Linked DNA regions of Nothobranchius furzeri. Each later gene encodes a partner of the first gene's protein in a complex. Links are inferred from orthologs where the notes say so. Each region holds a gene or a part of one and is shown in the gene's direction. Other genes may lie near its edges.

Region 1 (6,396 bases):
CTGAGAAGAAAAAGTCAAAGAAGAAAATCCATGAAGCAAACGAGACCATAGTGGTAGGTGTTCTGACATGTGCTGTTTTCCACCCAGTGGTTGTCATCAAATGTTCTACATTCTGGCTGCAGTGTTGTATTCAAACTTGAGTTATTTATGAAATATAATTATAGAAAGCATCTGCAACAGAAGAATGTTCTATTTTCTTTAATGTGAACCAGTTCTAGCAATTTAAAATATTAATAAATCACATGTATTATTATTGTCGATCTCTTTTTTCAAAGCTTCAGAATCTGACCAGGAAGCTGAACCTTGAGAAAGACACAGAAGATGACGAAACCATTCTGCAAAACACATATGACCCTGAACAGGGCAGCCCTCGTTATTCCAAAAACAAACGAAGAGAAAAGGAAACAGCAGAACAGGTTAACTGTAACAACAGCAAGGATGAAGAAGTTAAAGCATCAAAAGCCAAAAGGAAGAGTAAGAGGGACCTCCCTTCTTTACCTGTACCCAAAGACATTCCAGAGGACTTACAGGAGGGGGCAAATGCTTCTAGAGCCGACAATACTTTGAATCCAGAAGCTGCTGTTGGTGAAAAGAAACGAAAAGGAAAAAGTAAGAAGGGAAAAGTCAGAGAAAATGTAGAAGATGTTGCAGAGAGTCCGGTGGAGGATCCAGAAGATAAACTACTGCATGAATACCAGCAGCAGATGGCACAGGAAGAGGAGCTGACTGTGAAGAAAACAAGGGTCAAACGGGAAACTGTTAACTCACAAAGTGCTGTGTTGAATAATGATATGGGGAAGAAGAAAAAGAAAAAGCTGAAATCTGTAACAACTGAGTCAGATGTAGGGTGTGTATTTCTCTCTAATTTTAGCTTTATTGTAGTTTTTGATATCAAGAATAAAGTTTAAGCAGCATTTTGACTTTTTTTTTCTTTAATCAGGGATCAAGATGAGGAAGTCAATCCAGATGCTGATGAGGAAAATAAAACTGAATCAAAGGGAAAGAAGAAAAAGAAGAAGAAGCACGGTAGTTTTTTAAAACAAAGTAATTTGTGTAACATAAAAAGAGATTTTGATGAGTTATTTTTCTCAACTTTTTAGTTGTCAAAGAAGAAAGTGAAGCTGAAGCAGCAGAGGAGCAAAAGCCGACATTTGATGACGGTCTTGTTCTGGGAGTGTTCGTTCATAAAACGGATCGCCTGAAGACGGACTTACTGATCTCGCACCCCATGGTGAAGATCCACGTTGTTGATGAGATCACGGGCAATTATGTGAAGAAAAGGGACTGGTGAGAAGAAGTTATCTCTGATCTTATGCTGCTACACCTATCAGCGTTAAAATATTTGGGCTACAGTTTAAAAAAATGTTTTCATGCTCAAACATTTAATTAAAAGTGAAATCTGTTTGTGTTTTGAAGCCATCGACCTGTGTCTTCCTATTATGAGGGACAGAACGTCGACCATATCCTCCCTATCATGACTCAGCCTTTTGACTTCAAGAAGAACAAATCCATCATCCCCGAGTGGCAAGAGCTAATCATATTCAACGAACGCTTTGGCTACTTTGTTGAGCAAAAGGATGAAAGCCCCAGAGTCATCCTCTTCTTTGAAGTGAGATATACTTCATTACCAAGTGAATAACCATATTTTAAGAAAAGTCACTTATTTTCTAAATATTTTTTAAGATCCTGGATTTTAAGACCATGGAGGAGGTAAAAGCCAACTTGGACGTTGATAAACACGAGCAAGGGTTCAGAAAGGTCGCATGGGCGTTTCTGAAGGTAAAGAGAACATTCTGTTCACTTGTCAGTCTATATTTGTTACTGTTCATCATTTTTAAACATGTTTTCTCTCCATATTTTAGCTTGTTGGCACAAATGATGTTTTAAACATCGACAGTAAACTTCGTCTCCAGCTCTTCTGCCCTCCACCTCGGGCAAAGAGACAAACTAAAACGATAGAAGTGTTTGAGTGGTGGAGGAAGTACCCACGAATCCATTATGCTTCCACCCTTTATGTTACCGTGAAAGGGATCAAACTCCCAGAACATGTAAGTCTGCAGCTAGAAACTGATGATTCATTACGTTTTTCTGTTGTCCATACTTCTACTTTGGTAAAGCAGAGTTGGTTTGTGCCGTTTGTGCAGGTGGACCCCGGTATCCGATCTATGATGGCGCTACAGGAGGAGAGAGGCAGCACCACCTATAGTGATCTGCAGAAAGAGATCACACAGAAAACTCTGACACAGCCTCCTGATAGCAAGCAGCCGATCCTGAGATGGAGCCGTGCTGTTGGTCAGGTCGGCGGAGGCTCCAAGTCACATGATGCTGCTTTCTATCAAATGTTTATTATCTGATCTACTTAAGGAAGTGAAGAGCTCAGGACTAGACCTTGTCTGTGTGTTGCAGATCTGCCGAATCCCTAACAAACTGGTCTGGTCGTTCCGTGGGGGTCAGATGGGATGTTTCACCGTACTGTTTTCTCACGCTGGAACCATGCTGGCTGCTGCTTGTGCCGACAAAGATGCTTTCCCCGTCGTAGGTGAGCCACACCTCATCTGTACAAAATTCACCTTATTTGTGAGCAGCAACGATTTTGGGAGTTTCTTTACACAACTTTGTATTGAAGTCCTCAACCATCCATGCATGCAGGAGAAGGGAGAGGAAGCACCTTTTAAAAGAACGTATTTGTCTAATTTTCCAGTGTATGAGATTCCCTCCGGCAGAGCGTTAGCTGCCTTCAGCGGCCATCTGAAGATAGTGTACGATCTCTGCTGGTCCAGAGATGATAAAAGCTTGTTGTCTGCCTCCTCAGACGGAACGGTGAGGTAAGTTCCCACAAGAGGGCGCAGTAGCCTCTCCTACTATATCAGTGTGATTTTGTTAAGCTTCGGAATACATTTTATAAAACAGCACTTTCTTCCTTTTCATCTCCTCCTTCAGAGAGTGGAATGTCGAGATGCTTCTAGAAACAGCCCAGAAGGTCCTCTCTCATCCGTCCTTCGTGTACTGCGCTCAGTACCACCCCAGCGCTCAGAACCTGGCAGTGACAGGGAGCTACGACTGTCTGGTGCGAGTGTGGAGGCTTGATGTCCCTGATGTGAACGGCCAGCTGCTGCAAGAGTTTGAGGGTCACAGCAGCTTCATCAACACCATTTGTTTTGACTCTGAAGGTATTAGCTTCCAAATGTTTAGATGACCCCACCAAGTCCTTCCCATCTGGTTCAGTCCCTCCTAAACACCTCTGACTGTTTATGGTAATTTCTTTTGTGTAAACAGGATCTAGGATGTTCTCTGCAGACAACACAGGCACCATCATCGTGTGGAAAACTTCAGTGAATGATGACAAGAACCGACAGAAGCCATGTCATCGTTGGTGCATAGAGAGGGTACGAGTCTAGATTAGAGCCCGTGTGGGACTATTCTTTATGTTGTCTGTTTCTGTCACTCCCATGCAATCTCGCAAAGTTTGTGTCCAACCCCACCTCCACCTGCAGCTCCATTAAATAACAAAACAACATGTTTTACGATCAAATACGTTTATATTTATGTCGCGTGTTACCTCTGTAGCCTCAGTTGTACTCTTCATCCTATCAACAGTCTTGAGATTCGTGGTATACTTCTAGCCACCCGCTCCCTCCTACAGCAGTCTCACAACTGCCAGCATCCACCAGATTAGCGTTGGTTTCTGTGGGATCCCAGTCCCAGTGTAGGGCTCTAGTCTAGATTTGTTCAATTGGAGTCAAACTAAATTCTCACAGACACAAAAAGATATTTTTCTCTGCAAATATTTTCTTCTTTGAGCGAGTGAGGGAAAATGGAGTGTGAGTTTGATAGGCAGATTGGTTCTGCGTCTGCAGTGACGTGGGCGTTGTACCGATCTGTCGTGGTGAAGAGAGAGCTGAGCCGGAAGGCAAAGCTCTCCATTTACCGGTTGATCTACGTTCCTACCCTCACCTATGGTCATGAACGTTGGGTAGTGACCGTAAGAACGAGAGTGCGGATACAAGCAGCCGAAATGCGTTTTCTTCGCAGGGTGGCTGGGCTCTCCCTTAAGAGATAGGATGAGAAGCTCAGCCATTCGGGAGGGGCTCTGAGTAGATCCGCTGCTCCCCCACGTCGAGAGGAGCCAGTTGAGGTGGCTCGGGCATCTGGTCAGGACGCCTCCCTGGTGAGGTTTTCTGGGCACGTCCAACTGGGAGGAGACCAAAGGGAAGACCCAGGACACGCTGGAGGGACTACGTCTCCCAGCTGGCCAGGGAATGCCTTGGGATTTCCCCGGAAGAGCTGGCCCAAGTAGCTGGGGAGAGGGAAGTCTGGGTGTCTCGGCTTAGGCTGCTGCCCCCGCGACCCAACTCCGGATAAACGGCTGAAAATGGATGGATGGACTTTTTTCTTGTCTCTGCAGAAAATCTCTGAGGATGACCTGCGAAGCATACCCATCAGCATGCTGCAGCTCCACCCTAATGGTCGGTGCCTGCTCATACACGCCAAAGACAGCATCCTGAGGATGATGGACTTAAGGATGTAAGTTAGAAAAAAATAAAAAATCTCTAATGATAGCTACACCAACAAACTTTGAAGAGGAATGAGTAAAGTCATGTTATAGATATCATGGAAAATTAACAGAAAGTTTATGTTTTTTTACATTTGTCGCCCCCAGTTTGGCTGTGAAGCGATACACTGGAGCAACAAACTACAGAGAGAGGATTTGTAGCACCTTCACACCTTGTGGGAATTTCCTCCTCTCTGGTAGCGAGGATGGGATGGCGTACGTCTGGAATACTGACACAGGTAACAGCGTTTTAGTCGCCGCCGGTGAAGATGTGCTTGTCTCAGTAAACTGGATGGATTTTAATGCAACTCTCAGTAAGTTAAGACACAGGATGTGTGTCCACAGCTGATTCACCCAGTTCAAGATGGCCGCCACAGCTTATCAATTTTTATTAACAAAAAAAAAATCAAATTCAGTTGGGAATTTTGCATCTTGTTGACTTCTCCTGCTCTTCCCAGGTGACCAGGTTGAGGTATACTCTGAGCTCTGTTACCACACCGCTCTCCATGGCGTCTCTTTCCACCCTCATGAGAACATGGTGGCGTTCTGCGCGTACGGTCAGAGCCAGCCTGTGCTCGTGTACCTGTACGATCGCAAAGGTTTGTGTCGTCTTTGATGATTTTTGTTGTTTTTTGCTTTTCGTACACTTTGCTAAACATGTTTTATCATTTAGTTTCCCAGCTGGAGATGCAGAACATTAAAGCAGCGAGCACATCGGCGTCTGCAGACCGAACGCTCAGAAACACGCCCGACTCTCTGCTGCTGCTGCAGGACACTTCTGCTCCTTCGGCCATGGACCAGTTTGCTCATGCAGCACGACTCGCCATGAAAATGCAGTCTGTTAAACGGCGGCTGGATTCAGTTCTGGTAAATCTTCTTTAACTCACAAAATATCATTTAGTTATTTAAACGGGGCTCATATTTTGACACCATTTGTAGGAACCACATCGCCGATCTTCAGCTTCTGGATTTCTTTCGGATCACGGTCTGTATGAGAGCATCTCAGATGAGTTTGTTTGTTTACATGCAGAGTATTTAGTCTTGTTCTCTTTATTTGCAGACAAAATGGGCATCAGTCATATGGGGAAGAGCTTTCCACCAGACACTAGCACGGTGATTATACGGTTACAGACCCCAAACACCACACAGACTCACAAGGTTACTGTGAGTCATATTAAAGTTAATGAAGGCTGTTTGTCTCCACATTTCTTTCAGAGTTAAAACGTTTAAGCCTTCTGTTGTGTATTATCAGTAGACGTTGCATTAGAAGGTGTAAATGAAAGTTTTTGCTCTTCCTCAGATGGGATTAAATGTCTCTCTGCCACCTCCGTCTCTGCTGTCACCGCACTCCAAGCTGCAGCTCTCTGGTTCTTTTGCAGAACAGCTAATCCCGCAAGCAGCCCTGAGTACACAAACCCGTGAGTGTCTCGTCCAGATAATCAGTTATTTGTGCTGGAACAATGAAGGGAGTTTCTGGAGCTGGGAGACGAGGTCAAATGTTTCCAGAGATTATCGCTGCTCAAACTCCTGCATGATGTAACTTCAAGATTTGATCAAAGCTGTGAAGCTTAGAGTTTTTTAGAGCAAGAGAGTGATTTCAGCAATAAGGGGACAATGGTCAAGCAACCTGGTTTTATGTGGAAACGCTAAGTTTCACCCAGCCTGATTACTGCTAAAGCTTTAGGTGAGAAATCAACAAGTGAAGTAGGCAATTTCAAAAAGCAACACGTTCTAAACCCTCCAATGTGGCTGAATTAAAAGTAAAGCGGGGCAAAACTCCTCCTCAGCGATGTGAGACGCCTCACCGGTCATCACTAACACCTGACGGCTGTTGTTGCCTTCAG
Region 2 (6,496 bases), on another chromosome or scaffold:
AAAACCGGAGTTTAAAGGTTCGCAACGTCACTTTCCGCGACAAAAAAAAATGCTGACATCACGTGTGCGACCTGTGTTTACACTAGCCGACATCATGGATGCCCTCAGAGCTGCGCTCGCTTTATCAATTGTCCAAGCGCTTTCTGCTTGTTTGTTTTTGCAAGCAGAATTACTGATCCTTGCGGAAGACCACAGACGAAGGACGAGGTTAAGAACGGGGGAAGTACTGCCGCCTACAGGTCTGGCATGTCCTTAACAACGTATTTATCCGGGTACGTGTGGACAGAGTTTCTTTTTAAAACGAGGTGGTGTGGATGCAAGTTTTTGGAGGGGCGGATATTCGTTTTAAAGAAAAAACCTGGCTATGTGTGGACTAGGCCTTAGTTGTGGTGTTTGTGGGCGTGCAGACCTTTCAACGATCCGCTCCAGGGTGAGGTTACGGAGGCAGTCGGAGAGTCCTTTCTCCCCCAGCTCCACATCCAGCTGACAGGAAGGACAGGGGAACAGCATGGGGGGAGGGGCTGCCTCCCTGCGCCTCAGACCTGGGTATGTCCCACATACTGAGACACCGATGCAGGTGTGAGGGAGAGATTAAAAGAAGAGGTTATCACCTTATAGCTGTAAAATTACATATTGTTTCACAATAGAGTACGACCGATCTGTGCTGTCTAAAGCTTGTCTGATTCACTCAACGTTTGCTTTACATGCTCTTAAATAAGTCATGAGCTGATATGTTGCATCACATCATCATCATCTGTGGATTTCTACTGCTGAGGCACAAGGATACTGAGGTCATTTACGTCATCCCCACCCAACATGAGTAAATTATTCCAAATCTTTCCTTCCACCTGTTTTGAGGGACCGCTCCAGACGGTCGGGCGTCCTGGGCGCAGGCCGACGTGCCTGTCTTGGAGAGCGAGTGTTTGGGGTGGAGGCAGGTGAGTTGGGGTCCGGGGGGAGATCTGGAGGAGGATAACCTCTCTGGACCAGCATCTCAGCTGCACAAAGCAGGCACACGCTGTGCTGGCACGGGAGAAGGATAGGCTGCTTCACCGTCTCGTCACACACCGGGCAATGCAGCTCCTGCTCCATACTCTTCATGTTGGACTGGAGGAGAGGCAGTGTGGATGTGGGAGAGGTCGAAAGAGAGAACAGACAAAAAGACCTGAGTCAGAAACAAATGCATGAGGTGTTTATCTGAAGCCTCTTATGTTCGGCCTTGTCAAGTGAACAGAGTAACTGTGTAAAGTTAGAATAACCAGAAAGAAAATATGTAACGAAGTTAGCTCACATTTTCTCTCAAATGTTTAACAAACAATAAAAATGTTAAATTCACGAAAAAAAGCATGATGAAAATCAGTTTCCGTGGACGTGGTGGCTCTTTTCCATCACTGCAGCTAGAGGGCGCAGCATCCCGTTTCTATGACAACCAGCATCATCTCTGTCTTTTCGTGTGCACGGCCCAACGCCTCTCGTGCTATTTTCTAACATATTTAAATTAGTCCAACAGTAAAAAAATCAAACGCATCAACTTCAGCTTCCACGTTTTAAATGTTGTTTTGTTGTTATTTACACAGTGCCAGAGCTTTACTGTGACGCTGATATCATGTCTCCAAACGGAATTAGCACGCTCCATCATCACAGCTGGACACATCTGTATGCAGATGGCTTCATATCTGAAACATGGGGGGAAATCCGCTAAAACATCCAGACTGAAACTGCACAAATGGCTGAAGTGACTAATAAAGCCAGCGTCATACTCACGTTGATGCGAACCAGCGCGTCCATGATAGAAGTAAAGGTTTGGAACTCCGACTCGGCCATGATGCTTTCTCGATTTAAGCGACTCAAAAGGATCTCCTGGAGAAAACCCCGGCTGGTTGTCTTCTTCTCCTGGCCGCGAGGCAAAGCCCGGGCCTTGGCTGGTGCCGCTCCGCTGCTCACGCACGCTGGATCGGTTCAGTCTGCCTCGGGGGAAGAGTCCACTGGTGGGATGGGGGTGGGAAATCTCTGGCTCAGACCATCTAACAGAAACACATTCGTTTCTTATTGCGCTGTTTTGTTTTACAGGCACGTTTATCCTGCCAATTCCAATTAAACATGCGGTTGTTGTTTGTCTTTTTAAAAATAAAACCGTTTTATCCAACAGCGAACGGATCTGGTGGCCCTTTCTATTTCTTTCATTTTGTCTTGTTTTTTTTTTCGGGGAACCTGAATTTTCGGGTAGTTTTAAGCATTTTTATGATAAAAATGAAAAGACATCAGGTGTTACCATCAGATCGCAGTATTGATGAATAAAAAAAGCAAATAAATAAACAAATAAATAATAAATAAATAAATAAATAAATATCCAGCTACACGTCAAGCTACACCTCTTTTACTAACTCTGACCAGGAAAAATGAAACGCGCTGACTACCCACCGTTACTAAATAAGATGTTTGGGTTTCTCTGTTTTATATTATTTACTGCTGATTAAAAACTCTTTTACGTGACGCGTTCATGGTCAACGCGGAACCGTTTAGGTGTTCGTTTTTTTGTCCGGTCATTAAAACCGTATGCACATTGTCCGTGGTTGTTGTAGCAACCGTTAGTTGCGTCACAACGTGAAGTTTTTGGCTCTGTTAACGAACGAGACACAAAACTAAGCTATAGACTTCGCGAGTTTTTAAACAAACAAATGAATCAGCTGGTTTATGTCATTAGCCGCAAGATAAACAGATGCTAAAGTGTTCGTTTAAAGTTAGCACATTTAGCTACATGCTAGCCTAGCTTACTGAGTGGTTTCCGTCGCAGTAAACAAAAACCTTTTACTCTTTTTTTTACTCACGAGCTTTTAGAGTTTTACTTTGCTGATTAGGATCACCATGTCGGCCATCAGCAGCCTTGTTCCTGCTCGGTTTCTCACCATCACAGCTCATCTTGTCATTGTTATCACCATCTTTTGGTCAAGGGTAAGAAAAAAATGGTTTATCTTTAATCTGATTTCTTGTGCCTGATTTTATTTTCATAATGGAGAAAACTTTATGGGATTTTAGATCTGTGGTTTTATTAGACGTTGCTGTTATATGAAATACCACAAAGGTGAACACACAAACACATTGTTAGAAATTCTGCTTAAACATCAAAGGTAATTAAAACATATTCCTTGTTGTGTTATAAAACGTCATTTAAGTTCCAGGAAGTGTCCTCATTGACCCCTAACCAGCATGTTCTGGTTGTTTCCCTGCCCAAACACACCTGATTCAATGGTTGAGTCACCTGTTTAGCATGATTAGGTCTGCAGAAGCTGTTAATCACCTCTAGGGTTGTCACGGTGTGAAAATTTAACCTCACGGTTATTGTGACCAAAATTATCACGGTTTTCGGTATTATCGTGGTATTGTTTTAAACGTGTTACATTTTCAGGAAACTAAATAAACCCTGTATATCAGGAAAATATTGTCCTCAGTTTGTGTCTAAATTTTGCCTAAAATGTGTTATTTTGTAATTATGTTGTTTATTTGTTTACATATTTCCCCTTAAGTCTTTAAAATACCAATATTTGCCCATAACTTTTCTTATTTTATGTCTGTTTGATGTCATCATTTTAAAAATATTAGACCAGATGATACTCAGTACTCAAGTAGCCTTCTAATCAGATACTTTTTACCCTTACTTGAGTAATAAACCCTATATCAGGAAAATATTGTCCTCGGTTTGTGTCCTTCCAGTGAGCTTTGCAGATGTGGGAAAATGGCATCAGGCAGTAATCGTTGTTAAATTCATAATTATTCTCGGAGAGAGACCAACTCTTATCTGCCCCTGGGAGCCCCGTAATGCATAGCGTCATTTCAACATGGCGGTGTCCGCGACACGGTTTATATGCAGGTAGCGGCGCTGCGGCTGCTTTATATAGCGACTCGTTGCGTTCTCCCTCAACCCAAATCCTCGGATCACGCATTTTAGCTAAAGCGCTAACGTTAGCTTGCCTTGCGTTGACTGTAGAGTTGTGGGTGATGGTCACGCAGATGTGTCATGAGATTTGAAGCGTTGCTGCCTTTCACAGACACTTTTTCTGCTCGTGCTGCAAACAGGATAGCCGTCTTCTATCAGCTTTCCCTCGGCATTCTTCTGGTATAAAAAAATGCCCGTACTTCTGACTTTGTCTTCTTAGAGCGATAATAAATGTCCTGAGTGCTGCCGTCTCCTCCTTTGTCCGTTATTTCAGCTTTAGCTTCAAGAAAGTTTTGGTTGTAAACAACAAAGTGCGCATGTGCCGCCGGCAACTTCAGCAGATGATACGGTGGCTGGTAAGGGTCACCGCGCCTACACCGCAGCCACGGTAATCCACCGAGATAATATAGTTTTTAAAAAAACAAGACGGTTATTATTATTGTCAACTTTTTTACCGGGGTTTACCGCTACACCGGTTACCGTGACAACCCTAATCACCTCTTGGTTAAAAACAGCAGAGCAGAGAAACCACTGAAACATGCTGGATAGGGGCCCTCGAGGTGCAGGGATGGACACCACTGCTCTACGGTCAACATCACATCCAGATTATTCAGCCCTTGAAATAATTTGCAATTGTTTTTCTTTTTATAGGAAAATAATGTAAAAGCATGTTTACCACTGGATTTCACACCAGAGCAGTATGATACCGAAGACAAAAAGTGAGTAGATATGTATGTAACACACTCGTATTATCAGGTTCTCGGATTAAATGATCTCTTTTGTTCCCTCCAGGCTGGTGGTGGCGCTGGCAGTCACACTTGGTCTGTTTGTAATCGAGCTGGCTGGCTTCTTTTCAGGAGTGTCTATGTTCAACAGCACTCAGGGTCTCCTGTGTATCCTTTACTCATCCTTAATGAAATATATATATATATATATATATATATATATATATATATATATATATATATATATATACATATATGACCTTTAATATTCAACAGTAAAGCGACTTCTGGTTAAGGCTGTAACACAAAGAACACGCAGCAGCAGCAGCTAGTGGATAACTAGCTTAGCTCTCTCCCACTTGGTCGGTTCTCTCTAAAAGACAAACGGAATAGCTGAATAAAACCCAAATTACTATAAAATAAAGGTTTGTTATAGGTTAAAGAGTAAGGATGAGTGAATTTGTTATTAAAAAGCTAGTCACTCCCAAATTAACTTTTTTTTTTGCTGATTAACTATATAAATGAGTGTCAATAGTTTTGCTAAGAAATACACACACACACACAGGCTCACAACGACACTGTGACATCATATGGTACCAGCTAACGTTCTAGGGTACCTCTTAGCCAATAGCGATGGCAGATTTAAATTCAAATGCAGTGCAGAGTTTTTACCTGACAACGGCACGACACTGACAGTTTTAGGCAGAAAATTTAAATTTTAACAAAAATGCACTAAAGTGCTAAACTATTTACGACACGTGTCTGCAGCACGATTAGACACACATTTATTTAGTTTATCAGGAAAAAAATGTTGATTTGGGGGTGACTTGCTCTTTAAATGTCAAAAAGTCATCAGTTACAGTTCCATGACTTGTTGGATGTAACGTTATAGCAACAGGAGTCCACGCCAGTGCCGCAGTGGCTCTGCTTTTCTTTCTCTTTGAGCAGTGGCAGTGTGACAGCTACTGGTGGATTCTTGCCGTTTGCAGGTTAGTTTATAACTTTTATTGTTTTCATAAAGAGTTTGTTTCCCTAACAGACAGTTGTCTCCAGCATTGGCTGTCCACTGCAGTGCATCTGTGTCCTTGTCTTTCTTTGTGTTTGAGAAGTGGGAATGCTGGACTTACTGGGTGATTTTTGCAACCTGCAGGTCGGTGTGCCTGTGTGTTGTTGCAAATAAATGTGTTATTTCTCAGATAGTCTACATTTAGAGGAAGCACGTGTGTGTAATGGTTGTGTTTTCCTCATGTTTCCCTCCCTCTCTCCCTCTAGTGTCCTACCAGCCTGTGTGGAAATTCTTCTGTTCATCGCGGTTTTTGGACTGAAGAAGAAGCCTCTATGAAAGAGTTTTCCACGTAAAAGCACTCAGATTTAGTCTGGACATGATTATAGGAACAGATTTAGAGTTTTAGTATTGTATTGATCTGACAGAAGCTGATAGTCATGTTGAGAAACTGCTTGAATGCGCTGCAGAATCCTTCTGCCATTTATTTTTCTGTAAATATTTGTTTTATATTTAAATAAACCCATAAATTATCTGAAAATGCATTTTTCTTCTTTTCCACTGCCTTACAATGTTTGCTAGCCACAAAGTGTTTAAAGAAAGTTTAATTGACTTTAAAGAGCAAGTCACCCCCAAATCAACTTTTTTTTCTGATAAACTATATAAATGCGTGTCTAATCGTGCTGCAGACACGTGTAGTCCATAGTTTTGCACTTTAGTGCATTTTAGTTAAAATAAAAAAATTCTGCCTAAAACTGTCAGTGTTGTGCCGTTGTCAGGTAAAAAATCTGCAGTGGATTTAAATCTGCCATCGCTATTGGCTAAGAGGTACCC

The links.
Region 2: ahi1 (region 1) and tmem107l share a complex: the UniProt entries of both Homo sapiens proteins name them as parts of the tectonic-like complex. The link is inferred for Nothobranchius furzeri from reciprocal best matches to the Homo sapiens genes AHI1 and TMEM107.

The regions. Positions count from the first base shown.
Region 1 is NC_091758.1:20,123,378-20,129,773, forward strand, and holds part of ahi1 (jouberin), read left to right. Parts: coding exon 1-53; intron 54-275; coding exon 276-847; intron 848-940; coding exon 941-1,026; intron 1,027-1,100; coding exon 1,101-1,287; intron 1,288-1,416; coding exon 1,417-1,609; intron 1,610-1,683; coding exon 1,684-1,779; intron 1,780-1,862; coding exon 1,863-2,048; intron 2,049-2,144; coding exon 2,145-2,297; intron 2,298-2,406; coding exon 2,407-2,539; intron 2,540-2,701; coding exon 2,702-2,825; intron 2,826-2,940; coding exon 2,941-3,170; intron 3,171-3,276; coding exon 3,277-3,386; intron 3,387-4,405; coding exon 4,406-4,524; intron 4,525-4,660; coding exon 4,661-4,791; intron 4,792-5,010; coding exon 5,011-5,151; intron 5,152-5,225; coding exon 5,226-5,419; intron 5,420-5,491; coding exon 5,492-5,537; intron 5,538-5,612; coding exon 5,613-5,716; intron 5,717-5,852; coding exon 5,853-5,970; intron 5,971-6,396. UniProt on the Homo sapiens protein: Involved in vesicle trafficking and required for ciliogenesis, formation of primary non-motile cilium, and recruitment of RAB8A to the basal body of primary cilium.
Region 2 is NC_091745.1:78,309,809-78,316,304, reverse strand, and holds tmem107l (transmembrane protein 107), read left to right. Parts: upstream 1-2,558; 5' UTR 2,559-2,865; coding exon 2,866-2,952; intron 2,953-4,585; coding exon 4,586-4,653; intron 4,654-4,726; coding exon 4,727-4,827; intron 4,828-5,551; coding exon of another isoform or gene 5,552-5,648; intron 5,649-5,712; coding exon 5,713-5,809; intron 5,810-5,931; coding exon 5,932-6,001; 3' UTR 6,002-6,203; downstream 6,204-6,496. UniProt on the Homo sapiens protein: Plays a role in cilia formation and embryonic patterning. Requires for normal Sonic hedgehog (Shh) signaling in the neural tube and acts in combination with GLI2 and GLI3 to pattern ventral and intermediate neuronal cell types.